Linked DNA regions of Neurospora crassa OR74A. The protein of the gene in region 1 purifies or fractionates together with the protein of each later gene. This does not show direct contact. Links are inferred from orthologs where the notes say so. Each region holds a gene or a part of one and is shown on either strand. Other genes may lie near its edges.

What was found. Proteins that work in one complex are often made in the same cells at the same time.
Region 2: the proteins of NCU05305 (region 1) and NCU03838 purify together in Saccharomyces cerevisiae (affinity purification with mass spectrometry; 3 studies listed by BioGRID). This does not show direct contact. The link is inferred for Neurospora crassa OR74A from reciprocal best matches to the Saccharomyces cerevisiae genes RPB5 and SPT4.
Region 3: the proteins of NCU05305 (region 1) and set-2 purify together in Saccharomyces cerevisiae (affinity purification with mass spectrometry; 3 studies listed by BioGRID). This does not show direct contact. The link is inferred for Neurospora crassa OR74A from reciprocal best matches to the Saccharomyces cerevisiae genes RPB5 and SET2.

What each region holds. Positions count from the first base shown.
Region 1 is NC_026504.1:5,395,255-5,399,710, forward strand, and holds NCU05305 (DNA-directed RNA polymerase II polypeptide), read right to left. Parts: upstream 2,585-4,456; 5' UTR 2,343-2,584; coding exon 2,250-2,342; intron 2,154-2,249; coding exon 2,071-2,153; intron 1,953-2,070; coding exon 1,424-1,952; 3' UTR 804-1,423; downstream 1-803. Other genes in the region: NCU05306 (hypothetical protein), read left to right, coding at 1-483; NCU05304 (nuclear segregation protein), read left to right, coding at 3,612-3,740, 3,935-4,456. UniProt on the Saccharomyces cerevisiae protein: DNA-dependent RNA polymerases catalyze the transcription of DNA into RNA using the four ribonucleoside triphosphates as substrates.
Region 2 is NC_026505.1:2,571,410-2,575,307, reverse strand, and holds NCU03838 (transcription elongation factor spt-4), read right to left. Parts: upstream 2,093-3,898; 5' UTR 1,750-2,092; coding exon 1,669-1,749; intron 1,592-1,668; coding exon 1,341-1,591; intron 1,251-1,340; coding exon 1,220-1,250; 3' UTR 900-1,219; downstream 1-899. Other genes in the region: NCU03839 (APF1), read left to right, coding at 1-727; NCU03837 (Snf1 kinase complex beta-subunit Gal83), read left to right, coding at 2,748-3,571, 3,649-3,898.
Region 3 is NC_026503.1:3,234,610-3,239,671, reverse strand, and holds the start of set-2 (histone-lysine N-methyltransferase), read right to left. Parts: upstream 3,200-5,062; 5' UTR 2,474-3,199; coding exon 2,062-2,473; intron 1,949-2,061; coding exon 348-1,948; intron 283-347; coding exon 1-282. UniProt on the Saccharomyces cerevisiae protein: Histone methyltransferase that trimethylates histone H3 'Lys-36' forming H3K36me3. Involved in transcription elongation as well as in transcription repression.

The sequences.
Region 1 (4,456 bases):
GACAAAAAAGTGATGACGCAGTGGCGGATCCGTGGATCAGCCTGGCTTTTGGGGCCGGACGTGGACAGTGAAGGGGCCAAGAAGGTGCGGGAGGTGTTGCGGCAGCGGATGCGCAGACTGGAGGGCAAGACACAGGAGGATGAGGAGCAATGGAGCTGGAGCAGGGAGGTTACGGCGCATTTTGGAAATTTGAATCCGGTCATGAGGGGCACGTTTCGCGGGCCGCCGCCGGGACAGCCGGTGGCGTTCCCCCCTGGAAAAGGGGAGGGGTTGGGCCAGGAGGTGGTGGATTTGCAGGATGAGGTAGCCAGAAAGAATTTCAGGGTGGTGGTGATTGTGCCGACCGAGGTGGATCAGGTGGATTTGTCGGATGCGAAGAGGGCGAGGCGGTGGTTGTATTTGTGGAGGGGAAATAGTTATCATGCGAAGGAGGCGGGCGGGGAGGTGCAGGGGGAGTGGGAGAAGGTTGAGGTTTGGCCTTAGAGGGATTGGGATTGGGATTGGTTCGTGATTTGGACTTGAGTGAGTCTTTTAGGTGTGTATTAACAGAGGAATGAATGAATAATTGAACAGTCAACATGCCATGTAACAAACGGATTACAGTGTTGGAGGATAAGTGTCTTGACTTTATGGTAGAGGCTGCGTATAGTTCTGTATTGGTCAATACAATGTCACCAGTCACTGAGTAACTCTTGAGCAATCGAATCAACAGCTCAATAACTCTGATATCTCATGCCCGATTTCAAAAGGGATTGACGAAACTTTCTTTCAGTCAGCATCCAAACACCTGAATGTTGATGATTCAGCCAGGGGCTACTTCTAGCTCAGATAAGCACTCTAATATAGTAGACTCCGTGGTGAATATACCCATTAGCAAACACAGTACCCAACTGCTCTAATCTCTCTTGTCTCAAAATTTCATAATGATAGCTCGGATATTCTCTTGTCGGTATATATCTCAAGCTACTTAGTACAAAAGCCACTCCGTAACGCCTTTCTTTCTTTGTCCTCTTTTGAATTCGAAAGAACAGAAACTGATTTCCCTGTATCCCCCATGATGCTAGAATAGTTAAGAAAAAGAAAAACGCCCAAGTGTTTTGTATTACACAACCGAACCCCTAACCCCTTCCTCCCTGTCCCGCTGGTGGCTGCCGTGCTTTCACTTCTTTCTTGCTTCGCTGCTGGCCGTCATCGTCCCCTTCCCAAGGCTTCTTATCCAGTCCTCGTCCATATAGTCATCAACTGATTCCCACCAGCCAGACCCGCGTTGGCCCGTCGAAGACCGTCCAGAGAACAAATCAAGCCTGGGGAGAGATTGGATGGATTGGTGTAGTGCCCTCCAGCCAGCCAGCCAGCCAGCCAGCCCAGCTTTGCCAACCGCACGCAACCACCCCCTTCTCTCACGCACACACGCTTGCCCCCCTTATACGCAAAGCCTGTAAGAAGCATAGCGACCCGCCGTCTCCGACACACGAATGATCTTGACGACCTGGCCCCTCTTGAGTCCCAGATACCGCGCAATCGGATCCTTGCTCAGAATTCTCGGCAGCTGCGTCTCCTTGAGTCGGTACCGCTTGAGGAGCGCGGCCTTCTCCTCCTTGGACAGCAACACGTGCTTGGGCACGAGCTCGTGGTGCGTGATGTTGACCAGCAGGTCCTCCTCCAGGAAGCACTCGACCTGTGTGTACTGCGAGGTGACGGACATGACCTTGCGGGCCTGGGCAGAAAGCGGGACGGCGGTGATGAAGATGCCGGCTTTGAACTTGTTGTCGGAGCAGTGGGTGACAAATTTCTTCATGACGGACACGCCGATGGAGCCCTTTTCGGTGCAGAACTCGACCCAGATGGTGCCGCATTCGGGAACGGGGTTGGGGTTGGAGGGCGTGGGAGGGGCGGTGAACTTTTTGATCATGGCTTCCGAGGGGCGGGCGGAGAATTGGAGCTTGGCGCGGCTGTGGTTTGGTGTCGTCATGTTAGTCTGGTGGGGAGGTGATAGTGGTTTGAGGTTTGAAATGCGACGCGTAAAGTGGTGGTGATGGAGGGGTGATGGGTGCCGACGCAGGAACTCACTTTGGTGTTCCATCCTCGTTCGTGTATTCAGCCTTGAACCGCTCGAGCGAGATCTTGACTTCGTCTTCCGCCAACTCGTAGCCCTATAGTCGAGAAGCACATGTACATGTCAGAATAGGTCGAATCATTCTGGGCGATGGCGCGTCGAGCAAGCGCCGTGATAAGGATGGATGGCGTACCCTGTCCTGAACCATCTCGTGAACAGTCCTCCAGGCCCTCCACAGACGGGAGACTTCCTTGGAGGCACTGGTGGGGCTGCTGTCGTCCTCCATTTTGACTGTGTGTGTTGGGCAGTCGATTGAAGTGTAGTGTTTGTCGTCGCGGAGTGGTGGTGATGTGGAGGTTGCGCAGGTGAGGTGGTGGTTCGCGATGGTGGATGGCGTGTTGGTGGATTGATAGCTTGGAGGACTTTCCTGTTTACGAGGCTGAAGGACAAAGGCTCTCAAAAAATTGCGGGAAGGGTGGGTGTCGCCGAAAACCAGAGGCGTGGCCGCATTGATCAGACCTAACGCCCGGGCACTCCAGGATTCCACGCCGGCCGATAAGAGATGGATGGGTCCACAGTGAGCCGGAGGCTGCCTTCACCCCTGTGAGACACTACAAGTAAGCGCGCAGATGGTCTGTGCTGTTGACCGTTGACCGGCTTCTGATTCAGGCAGGCAGTTTGTTGAAGTCGTGAAAGACCTAGGAGGAACAGTGATGGCGTGCGCTGGTTTTATGCATGACTGGAAAAGCGGACATACACTTCAAGTTGCGTTTCCGGTACATACATGATAGTACACAAAATTAATTCTCCTCGGCCAACTACCTATATAAACCTCTTCCATGATCCATATATGTTCCATGAGGGACATTGCTGGGCAAAGTGAAGTGAACTTAGTGAAGAGCCAATTCAACCTATCATCATCATCCTCCAACCAACCAACCAACCAACCAACCAACCAACCAGCGCACCATATGTACTTGGTAGGGTAGGTAGTAGCGCACAGGCCAAGACGGTGACACGCGTGACACGGTGTCGGGGAAAGGCCACGATCTGCAGATCTGGAACACGCCTGAAGCGGGACAAATTTTGGAATTTTTTGGAACTGGCGACGGGACTGTGAATTGAGGGTTCAAAGTGACCAAAGTTAGGTTAGTTCCCGTTCAATTGTCAATTTGGATGCGGGCAAAACAGATCAGGCATTGACAGCACCCGCACTACCTAGCCATTGTTCTCCCCAGGGCAGTCTGGACCCCATCTTCCACTACACATCCACATAACCACATCTCAAAGCAGCGATTACCCCAGAGGTACATCCTATCCTACAGGACCCGAACAGCGGTCCTCGGACGTGCACTGCCTTCCACTTCCCATCCTTCCTCAGGTCGCCCGCGGCTGTTCTACACTAAGTAGCTCTCCAACCAACCTACCCACCGGCTCCGACCCACGCCCCCCGGTTGCCTAGTCCCCCTTCCCCGTCTTTATCTTACTATTCCCTTCCTTTCGTCTCTTCTTCCTTCTTCTTTTTTTCCTTCAGCAACCCCCAACACCACACACAATGGCCGAGTCGCAATCCCCCGCTGCCGCCCCTGCGGCCACCACCAAGCCTCACAAGCCTGATCAGGATGCCTTCAACGAGAACCTCGCCAAGGCCGAGAAGGAGTATCAGGAGGCCCTGAAGAAATACGTGAGTCCCCTGCCCTGGCCGCTACCAAGAGCGCATCTACCCGATACCGTGGAGTCAGAGCACCCGCCCTCGCACTCACGATGCACCCTGCCGTCCACGCCACCCTCACCACCACCACGTCTTTTGCTACTAGAAGCTGCTGCCTCCAATTGCCATGTGACAAGGCCAGACTAACCAATTGTCCTTGAATCCAGAACGAGATCAAGGCCAAGGTTGAGCTCGCCGCTCCTAGCAAGAACAAGGACCAGCCCAGCCCCACCCAGAAGAAGCGCCAGGAGCTCATCTCCCAGCTCAACGAGATCCGTCAGCAGCAGGCCGGTGGCAAGAATGCCCGCACCTCCAAGCTCGACCAGATCAAGCGCCTCGATGAGCAGCTCCGCAGCCGCATTGCCGAGCAAAAGACTGCCCGCAGCAAGGTCAACTTCAAGTCCACCGAGGAACTCGACCGCGAGATTGAGCGCCTGGAGAAGGAGGTCAACGGCGGCATGATGAAGCTCGTCGACGAGAAGAAGGCCCTCGCCGAGATCTCCAACCTCCGCAAGCAGCGCAAGAGCTTTGCTGGCTTCGACGATGCCCAGAAGCAGATCGACGACCTCAAGGCCAAGATCAAGGAGATCAAGGACAGCTTGGAGGACCCCGAGGCCAAGGCCCTCAGCGAAAAGTACAACAAGCTCCAGGCCGAGCTTGACGCCATCAAGGCCGAGCAGGACGAGGCC
Region 2 (3,898 bases), on another chromosome or scaffold:
GAGGAGGGAGAAGGTCAGGAGGAAGGAGATGATGGATAAGGGGGATGAGGAGAGGGAGCAAAGGGCTTTGAGGGAGCAAATTAAGAGAGCGCAAAAGGATGCCGAGGCGAGGGGGGTTAGCTTTGATGCGGAGGAGGAGGAGAGGAAGGAGTTGAAGAGGAGGGAGGGGGAGAAGATTAAGTTGAGTTTTGGAAAATCGGCCACAACAAAGAAAGAGGAGCCCGGGTCGGGGTCGGGTGAGGGTGAGAAGGGTTCGACATCGGCGGCGGCAATGCCAACACCGGGTGCTGGGGACGGATCGGTTCCTCCTGCTGCGGAGGAGAAGAAGGATACCGTGACGCCACCTTCGACAATAACGAAGACGACGACGGACGGTGTAAGCTCTGAGCAAGCAAAGGTGGAAGCAAGTTCAAAGGGCGAAGAGGCCACTGCCAAGACGACGGCAGAGGAAAGCAAACCCGCGGTTGACTCGACTGCTGGTCCTGCTGGTCCTGCTGCTGCCGCTGCTCCCGCCACGAAGCCGGTATCTATGAAGTTCGGCATGAAGCCCCAACCGAAGAACGTCTTCAAGAATGCGTTTGCTGGGGCTCCCAAGAAGGTTATGGCTGCTCCGCCCAAGAAGATGAGCGAGGCCGAGAGGATAATGAAGGAGGAGTTGGAGCGCAAGAGGGCTCGCGAGGAGAAGGGTGGGAACTTTCCCAACAAGAAGCCACGCTTCCAGTTTTAACATACTGTGGAGTCTCACGTGGGTAACTGGTCAAAGGTTATGCTATCTCCGGGTTTGGCAATATTTCGGTACATGTTATAGGGGCGTTTTCGGCGTGATGGGAAATGTTTAAAAAAAAGATACCATATTGCATTGGGGTTTTCGTAAAAGGGATCCGTAGCTGGATGAATAATCTTCCATATAGGTTAGGTAGTGATAAACTCATTTGTATGATTGTTGTATTTCGCTGCAGTGTGTAATTATAGCCCTGGGTTGATCATGCAAAACCCAAAAAATGGCCACTATCCTGCTGTCTAGACCACGCCCTTTAAACCAGCCTTAACGCCTTGAACTCCTGTTGCCTTCCCTTTAACAGGCATTCCGCATTCCGCTCCTGGGTTGTCTGTGAACGATCTATTATCGGTCCCTCTTCCTTCTTGCTTGTCGGTTCTCTTTCCTGCTTTCTTATCCGCCCTATTCCGTCTTGTTTTCTTGCACCGCAGCTTCGAGTTTCTAGTCCGCTTCCGTCGCACTGCCATCGCGCCTGCTCCAAGTTAGTTTCTGGCTGTGCCCCGAAAACCCCACGATCATAGCCTGCTTCGCCAGACCACACGAGTGTAAGCAGGAAACTTACGGGATATACTGAATGCCGTCATCCTCCAACGTGGTGCGCACGTCATCCGGCAACTGGCCCGACACCTTGGTCGCGTATACACCCTTCACATAACCGTCCAGCCTCTGCCACTTCGCCACCCACGACTTCTGCGGGTTGGCAATGGTGATGATTCCTTCAAAGACTTGCGACGTGCAGCTGTCGATCTGATCCGGCGAGCCCTGGAGATGGAGGAAGTCTTCGCAGTTGGGGCATCCTTCGTCACGGAAGCGCTATGACAAAAACAAAAAAGGTCAGAAACTTGTCGGTCATAGAGTGACTAGAAACGAGGAAGGGCAGCTCGACTTACAGCATAGGTCATGACGATAGAGCAGACCATGCAGGCACGAAGGTAGCGCTGCTGGCCGGGGGCAACGTAGTTCTCCGACATTTTTGGGAGATGTGTAGGGATGGCGATGTTACTGGTAACTTTGGGGGCGGAAACCGATAACTCACTCGTCTACGAATAGCTGAGCGAGTGAATGAATAACTGGAAAAGGACACTTGACGAAGGAGGGTGATGTTCTTTAGAGGAATGCATGTGAACATCGATAAGTTGTTCTCTGGAAAGAAGATCGGCCGCCTCTCTTGCCTGCCGCGTCGCGCCAGCGCAAGCTCCAGGTCTCACAGCGGGCCAGGAGTTGACATGCAAGGGGCGCACGGTCCAGGAGCTAGAGAAGCAGGAGAGAATGTGGGAAAGGTGGGGGCCGAAGTGGAAGCTGGGGCCGATGCCTGGAGGTGGACAGTGGAGACACTGCCGTGCAGTTGGGCTGGGCGCCGTCTCACACTCATCCACAGTTCAACTCTGTTCGCCGAGTCCGGGGCGTTGCATCCGAGTTCCATTCAGTTGCCAGTGGTCGCCCGCTTCTTATCGAGCAACCAGGTGGATGGCAGCTGTGCTTTTTGGCCCAAGGGAGGACAGTCAACTGCTGCAGTGATACTCTGATAACTGAACTGAGCTCTCTACCTACCCGTCATTCTCTCGACTTCCACTTCTTCCACTTGTTTCGCGCATCCTCGATTCGACACGACTCGAATCATCACATCTTCCAGTTTGCTGCGATATTGCCTGCTCCAACTCTATTACGACACGACACCTGACAACGTCGTTCGAATTCCCAAAAACCACACAACCACAGCCACGACCAGCGCTGGCGTAGCATGCAAAGCCCCTCGACTGTCAAACCACCTTCTATCCGAACTCGGCCAATTACCCCGGAGAGTGGAAGATGAATTGATTGCACCCGGTGGACGCATTGTTGAACAGGTGTAGCAGTAACAGCAGCAGACCGCGGTAGCAGCGAACCACCTGTGACGACCCCGTTCGACCGACCCGACCACCACGGCGACCCCATCCCGTCATCAGCGCCAGCGATCGAGCTAGGGAAAATGGGGAACAACCCCTCCACCTCCAGAGACTCCAAGACCCCGAATCCGCAATCCTCCTCCTCCTCCTCTCAATCGCAGTCTCAGCACCAGTCGCTGGCTTCCATCCAAAATGACTCTGCCAGAGCAGTGAAGCGCGATACCAAGCACCCTATACCGGTCCCAAATCAGCGAGTCGCTGCCCCTCCTGAGCCCTCCTTGACCCAGGCCCAGGGCACCGCCGTCCAGCCGCCCTCAACCACCGCTCGTCCCAAGTCGCTGCACTCGCGAATGCCACCTTCTCAGAGCGGCTCGCCGGGCTCGTCGGTGCCTACCAGCTCTGCCACCCCCACCAAACCTGTCGAAGTAAGACAGCTGAGACCCGAAGACAGTCATGAGCCCGCGAAACCTGTAGCCGTGCCCACACCCTGCCACGCCTCGTCGTGCTCACCTAGGTCGCCGGTGCGATCACCGCTATCAGAGAGATCGGATGCCTTTGAGACTGCGGCTATGCAGCTGAGCAGTCTGCAAGATGTCTCGTACCTGACCAGGCCGCCGCGACTACCTCTGCCGATCGAGGAAGAGGTCCACACACCCGGATCGCCTATCATTGCCCCGACCGACATTGGGGTCCCACTCGAGGATGCCGACACTTTCACCGCGCTCACCAGACGCTCTTCCAACTTGAGTAACAGCTCAACTCTGGACGAAGAAGACACGGAGGAGCTACGGGTGGACAAGACTAGACCGACTGTCCCCACCAGGCTCGAATGGCTCCGTGGCGGCGAGAAGGTTTACGTGACAGGCACCATCTTCCAATGGAACAGGAAGACACGATTACACCCGGTGTAAGTACTTTCTACATCCCGGCCACTTTCGCTCTCAATACGGATGGGGCCTTGCTGACACCGCTACTCGCCAACAGTGAGGGCCGACCGGGTGTATTCGCTGCTATTATCAATATCCTGCCGGGCACACATCACGTTCGCTTTCTGGTTGACGGGCAAATGCAGACCTCGCCAGACTTGCCGACCACGGTAGACTTTGGCAACAACCTGGTCAACTACATCGAGGTCAGCCCTGATGATGTGGGGCGCACCGCTGCCCAGGCAGCTGCTGCAAGCGCCGCCAAGGATTCCCAGCAACCTACGGAGCCCAAAACCTCCGCGTCCGAG
Region 3 (5,062 bases), on another chromosome or scaffold:
GTTGGTAGGCGATGGGGCGCCGGAAGATGATGGCCCGGCTTTCTGTGCAGCGCGCTGCTCGTTTTCCCTGTGCTTGACCACAGCACGATCAAAGAAGTCCTTGACAAATTTCTTGATCTTCCTTGCCTGGTTGGAGGAAATGGTCGTAGGGTCATCGACACGGTGGTTCTTGTAGTCGGAAGCAACCAGTTTCTTGTTGATCTCACGGCCAAACCGCTTGAGGTCTTCCTTGGGAAGTCTTCGGTGAAACTTGTCCATGACGTATTTCACATGAGGAAAGAGCTGAAAGTACTTTGTTTAGCGTCACCGCAATAGGAGGGGCAGTTGGCTTCCGGGATTGGACATACCGTGTTTTCGTAAATCTTCATCTGTTTCTCAACCGGAAGAGACCTCCACTTCTCCTTCTTACCATTGTCTGGCACGGGTGTGTTAGATTTAGGGGTTTGGTTCGCAGAATGGCGGGGCGTCGGCTCCTTGGTCAAACTGTCGATGATATCCTGCAGAGCCTTTTGGTTTTGTTCCACCTTGGCAGAGGGCTTGGGCACGTCGACAGCAGGCGTTGTAGGTCGCTGCCACTGGGTATGGCCGCTCTTGTCGTAAAAGTAGTATTTGCCTGTGCTGTCAGTGGTGACAAACCATCCTGCAGGAAGATTCGTTGGAAGCTTGCGTGGTCTCTGGTTGTTGAAGTAGTTCATGTTCCGTTGGGGAATGTTGCTGCGGGGACCCGTGGGCACAACCATGTTCTCGAACGGATTGACAGGTCTTGAGGGATGCTCCTCATGATTGACGTTGCGGCGGTCATCCTCAAACGAATTTGTGGTTACGGGAGCGGAGGGGTCGAGCTTCTTGCGCGGGATGCGATAGGCTGTCTCCAATTTGCTCCATTCCTGAAGCAATCGTTTGGACTGCGACGCGACATCCTCATGGTCGGAATGGGTGAGGGGCTCGACGGCGGCTTCGATGTTGGAATCGGTAATCTTGTTCTTGGTGATGCGGGGGAGTTGGTACAGGATATCGAGAATCTGCAGTACGACATTGGTGTCTTCCTTAAAGGTGTTGAGGGTTGTCTTCAAAATCTGGTATCCGTGCATCTTAACAACCCGGTTCCGGACATGGTCATCGTCGGCATTCTGAAGGCGGCCGAGCAGCTTGACGGCAATCCATTTCTCCTTGCACTGCATGAGCGTGGCCATGACCTTGGTGACACCCTCTTCATCGAGGCCACGAGGCTCGAAGCGGTTGATGTACTCTTCATCGTCCTCGGTAGCCTTCTTCTTGCGGGGCTTCTTGACGGTGGCCGCCACCGCCGTGTCCCAGCTGTCTCCATCTTCGATACCAAGCGCCTCGATGGTGGCAGGCGGCAGTTTGGTTGCACGCTCTGTTTGCGTTTTGCCGCCAATGAAACCGGTGCAGTTTGGTTCACCGCAGTAGCAAGGCTGCGGGTCGGCGCCATAGCGGTCCACGTTGTAGTTGAACACCAGTTCCTCACCAGCCTTGATTGCGCGCCCCGCAAAAATGCCCATGCGCAGCTTGTCACCAACCACCCACTTGTCGACGTAGCAATTAGGATCGCACGAATGGTTGCAGAACCTGCCGAGGTTGCCCTTCTTAGTGGCATCAACAAACTCGGATTTGGTTAGTGACATGAAATAGAAGTGCTTGATGCCCTCCTTGTCGTATTTGACCATGCGGCTGCGAAATGTCGGCTCGTTGATGACCTCGCCAATGTACTCGAAAATGAAGTCGTTAACTTGCAAATCCGTGTTTGCCCGGAGGCCGAACCCCTTCTTTTCCGTCTTGATGACCGATACGTCGGCGTACTGTTTTCGCTGAAAGCGCTGGTTCTGGCATCCGCTACCACAGTTGCAATCGCCGTCAACGCACTCCATTTTCGTGGCCCGATTAATACAGTCTGAATCTTCCCCGCACGCATGGTTCATATCACCGCCTATACGATGAGCCAGGTGTCAGTATTCGGTTAAGGGGGGGTGTCGGCGGGCGGGCGGGCCGGAGGGGACATGACGCTAGCGGCAAGGGGACGCCGAAGATATTTTCACTTACGCCATTCTTCCGCACAGTCACAATCCAACGCATCGTGCTCGGATGCACCCATGTTCTTTGAGCCATAGAGACAGTCATGAATGACCTGGAAATGTGTGCATGCCTCTTCCCTCACGTCGGGGAGATGGTTGAAGAGCACCGGTTCCCTCTTCATGTTCTTCTGAGACGCCTTTCGCGAAGGCTTTTGTGTCGGGACATTTTCGCTGGGAGTTGCTGTGCTCTCACTCGCAGCCTTGTGCTCGTCGGGCGACATGCTTGGGGGTCTCGAGATTCCGGTCTGGGAGCCGTTTGGCGTGGCCGCATTGCCGGCGTTGCTGGCGCCATCCCGTTTTAGCTTGGAGCCGTTCATCTTGGAGTGTTCCTCCGACTTTGATTCCTTGGTCGAATCCGGTGAGTGATGGCCGTCCTCCATGGTGGATGCAGCAGCAGCTGGGGTCGCCCTGCGCGCACCCGAATAAGGGACTGTGAGTAATGGTTCGGTTGTGTGTCTGTGTGTCGAGGGCACTTGGCGCACGTTTGCTGTACGAAGGTCGCAGTCGAGGAAAAAACTAAGAAGGTGCAGATCGAGGAGGCAACCTAGGGAAAAGGAGACGGTCGGCGGAGTCGGTAGGATTAGGCGCAAAGGTCATGAGAAGGTGAGAGTGGAGCGAGCGACGGGCTGAAAAGAAGGTGACGTCTCGTCTCAGCGGCAGAATGATGCAAGTTGATGTGGCCGAGTACCTGTGTAGTCGGCTAAAGCAAAGCGTGTGGTGCTTCGTGGTGCTTTCGTTGGAGAGGAAGGGAAGGAAAAGGATGCCGGTCGCTGGTGCCGTTATTCTTCCGTTGCCGTTGCGGTGTTCTTGTCTTGGCTCCTTGATCTTTGCGACAGCATGCTCAACTGCGACTGGACCGCTGGCTGGCGACTCGGATGCTGAGAGGGTTGGAGGCGACGAACTGCCACGCTTCAGATGGGCTGAAGCAATTATTCAGTTGTTGACTGTTGGATAATGGCCCGGGGCAAAGAGAGAATCGATGGGTCGGCGACGACGGTGGACGCAAGAGGGAGCTGTTTGGGGCAGACGACGCGCAGGTCCGAACCAGAGAGGGAGTCGCTGTTTCTCGGCGTTGTGCCAGTTGCAGTCAGAATTCTGAGAGTCTGGGGACGAGCGTAGCAATGGGAATTGTTCGTTCGCGGCGTCTGGCGCTACTGCCAATTGGTATCGGCGCATGGTCAAAGAGATCGCCATTCAAAAGTCCAGTCCACTGGAGTCGGCTTGTGGCAGGCAATCCAGCTGAGGCCGTGCCACCGTGAGCTTGTCCACCTTGGCTGGTCTGTCCGGCACTGTGCCGGTGCTCATTGGTCTTGCCTGCCGCAGACTACAGACTTCTGCGTTTCGCTTTTGGCAGCCTCGGCAGCCCACGACGGCCCGGCAGCTGAAAACCAATTGGCATTCGGCAGCTGGCAAGGCTATGCTGACCCCACCATCAATTGGCGGCGCAATGGCATGGAATTCCCATTCGACCAGCAAAAAGTTCATCACTTCATCACATCAATGGACATTGCCGTTGGAAGTATCGGCCTTGGGCAGCGATTTTTTCAGCCATTCGACATGGGTGAAGGCTTGTCTTCAGATTCAATTAAGATTGCGAACGGTCCGGAATTGGGCGGCCTTGGTGTCAAGTGTCTCGTCCACTGTGGACTCGTGATGGAGAGAGAGAATGCCTCGAGCAAAGCGGGAGTCTGGGGATATCCGGATGGGGAAGCTTAGGATCTAGGTTCCGGATATGCTAAACCCAACCCTCCATGTCATTTCACGTCTCAACACCGATGACGTCCGACAACCTATATGAGCCCAAAGGGTCTGCATTGTACTGGCGTTTCCGTCCCAACCTGTGCGGCCATCGCCATCTGTGGAACAACAACCACATATCGTGCCCCCTCTTCCATCGGAATGCGAAACTGCTGCAATTGCGTGGCGCTCTTGATAAAGCACTGGTTACTTTTCAAGCTTTATACATTGCCTTTAGGAAAAGGTACTGCGGCGGATGTAGTGTCTCTGACGGTTTCTGGCTTCGATATATGCTGTATCTGATCTCATATGTCAGGGACCCGCCGGGCTTGTCTTTGTGTGCAACGTCGTTGAACCATGCTCTCCCTCCTTTCTGGAAGGACCTCCCATACGTAGCACGTCGCCTCGGACCAAAAAGACAAAGGAATAAATAAACAAGGAGACATGGAACAGGGCGAAACGCATAAACACTACATGCAACCCGGGCGCAGACAGGGCGCAACATTGACAGCAAAGCGAACACGACGTAATGGGACAGCCAGCCAGCAGCAACCGAATGAGGCTGGTATCTATATAGCTGATGGCCCGGCAAAGCCTGATGGTACTATTGCTGGAAATGTTGCCAAATCCGTCCGCTTGCCCTGCCGTGCACTTTGCTATGGTTCCTTGGTGTAGCGAAAGTGTGTGCTGTGATGTGCTGGACGTGCTGGACCTTGCTGCTTGGTGCCCTGCCAGCTCATCTTGCAGCAGCTTGTGGAGAAGCGTCCGAGGTCATTGCAAGACATTTAAAGACGCTCGTGGGATTCCATGTTGTGGACCGCCGTCGCTGTTTCTTCCAGAATTCCTATGGAAGCTTCACACATTCCGACCGACGATGGCAACAAACGACGGCGGCGACGACTCTCAAATCACCCTGACCGACATCACATTTCTCACTTGTCATAACCCGGACGATGCGGCTCTTATGAGGACGAACGCTTGACGTGTGCTTCTCAGCTCGTGTGATGGAACATGGCCGCGCAAACACCCTCATTGGCGAATCTTTTCAGCACAGCGTCCAATGGTCGCCGAAGCAAGCCTTCCGACCTCTAGTCAGTGGGGATTCGAACTACCAAGCTCAGAGATCAACGGGCCAATTGAACAAAGTTTTGTTAAGACGTCGCAGCTCAGCTTCAACAGAATTTCTCGTGCGACTTAAGAGCAAAACAAGAACCGGAAGACCGAGCGACCAA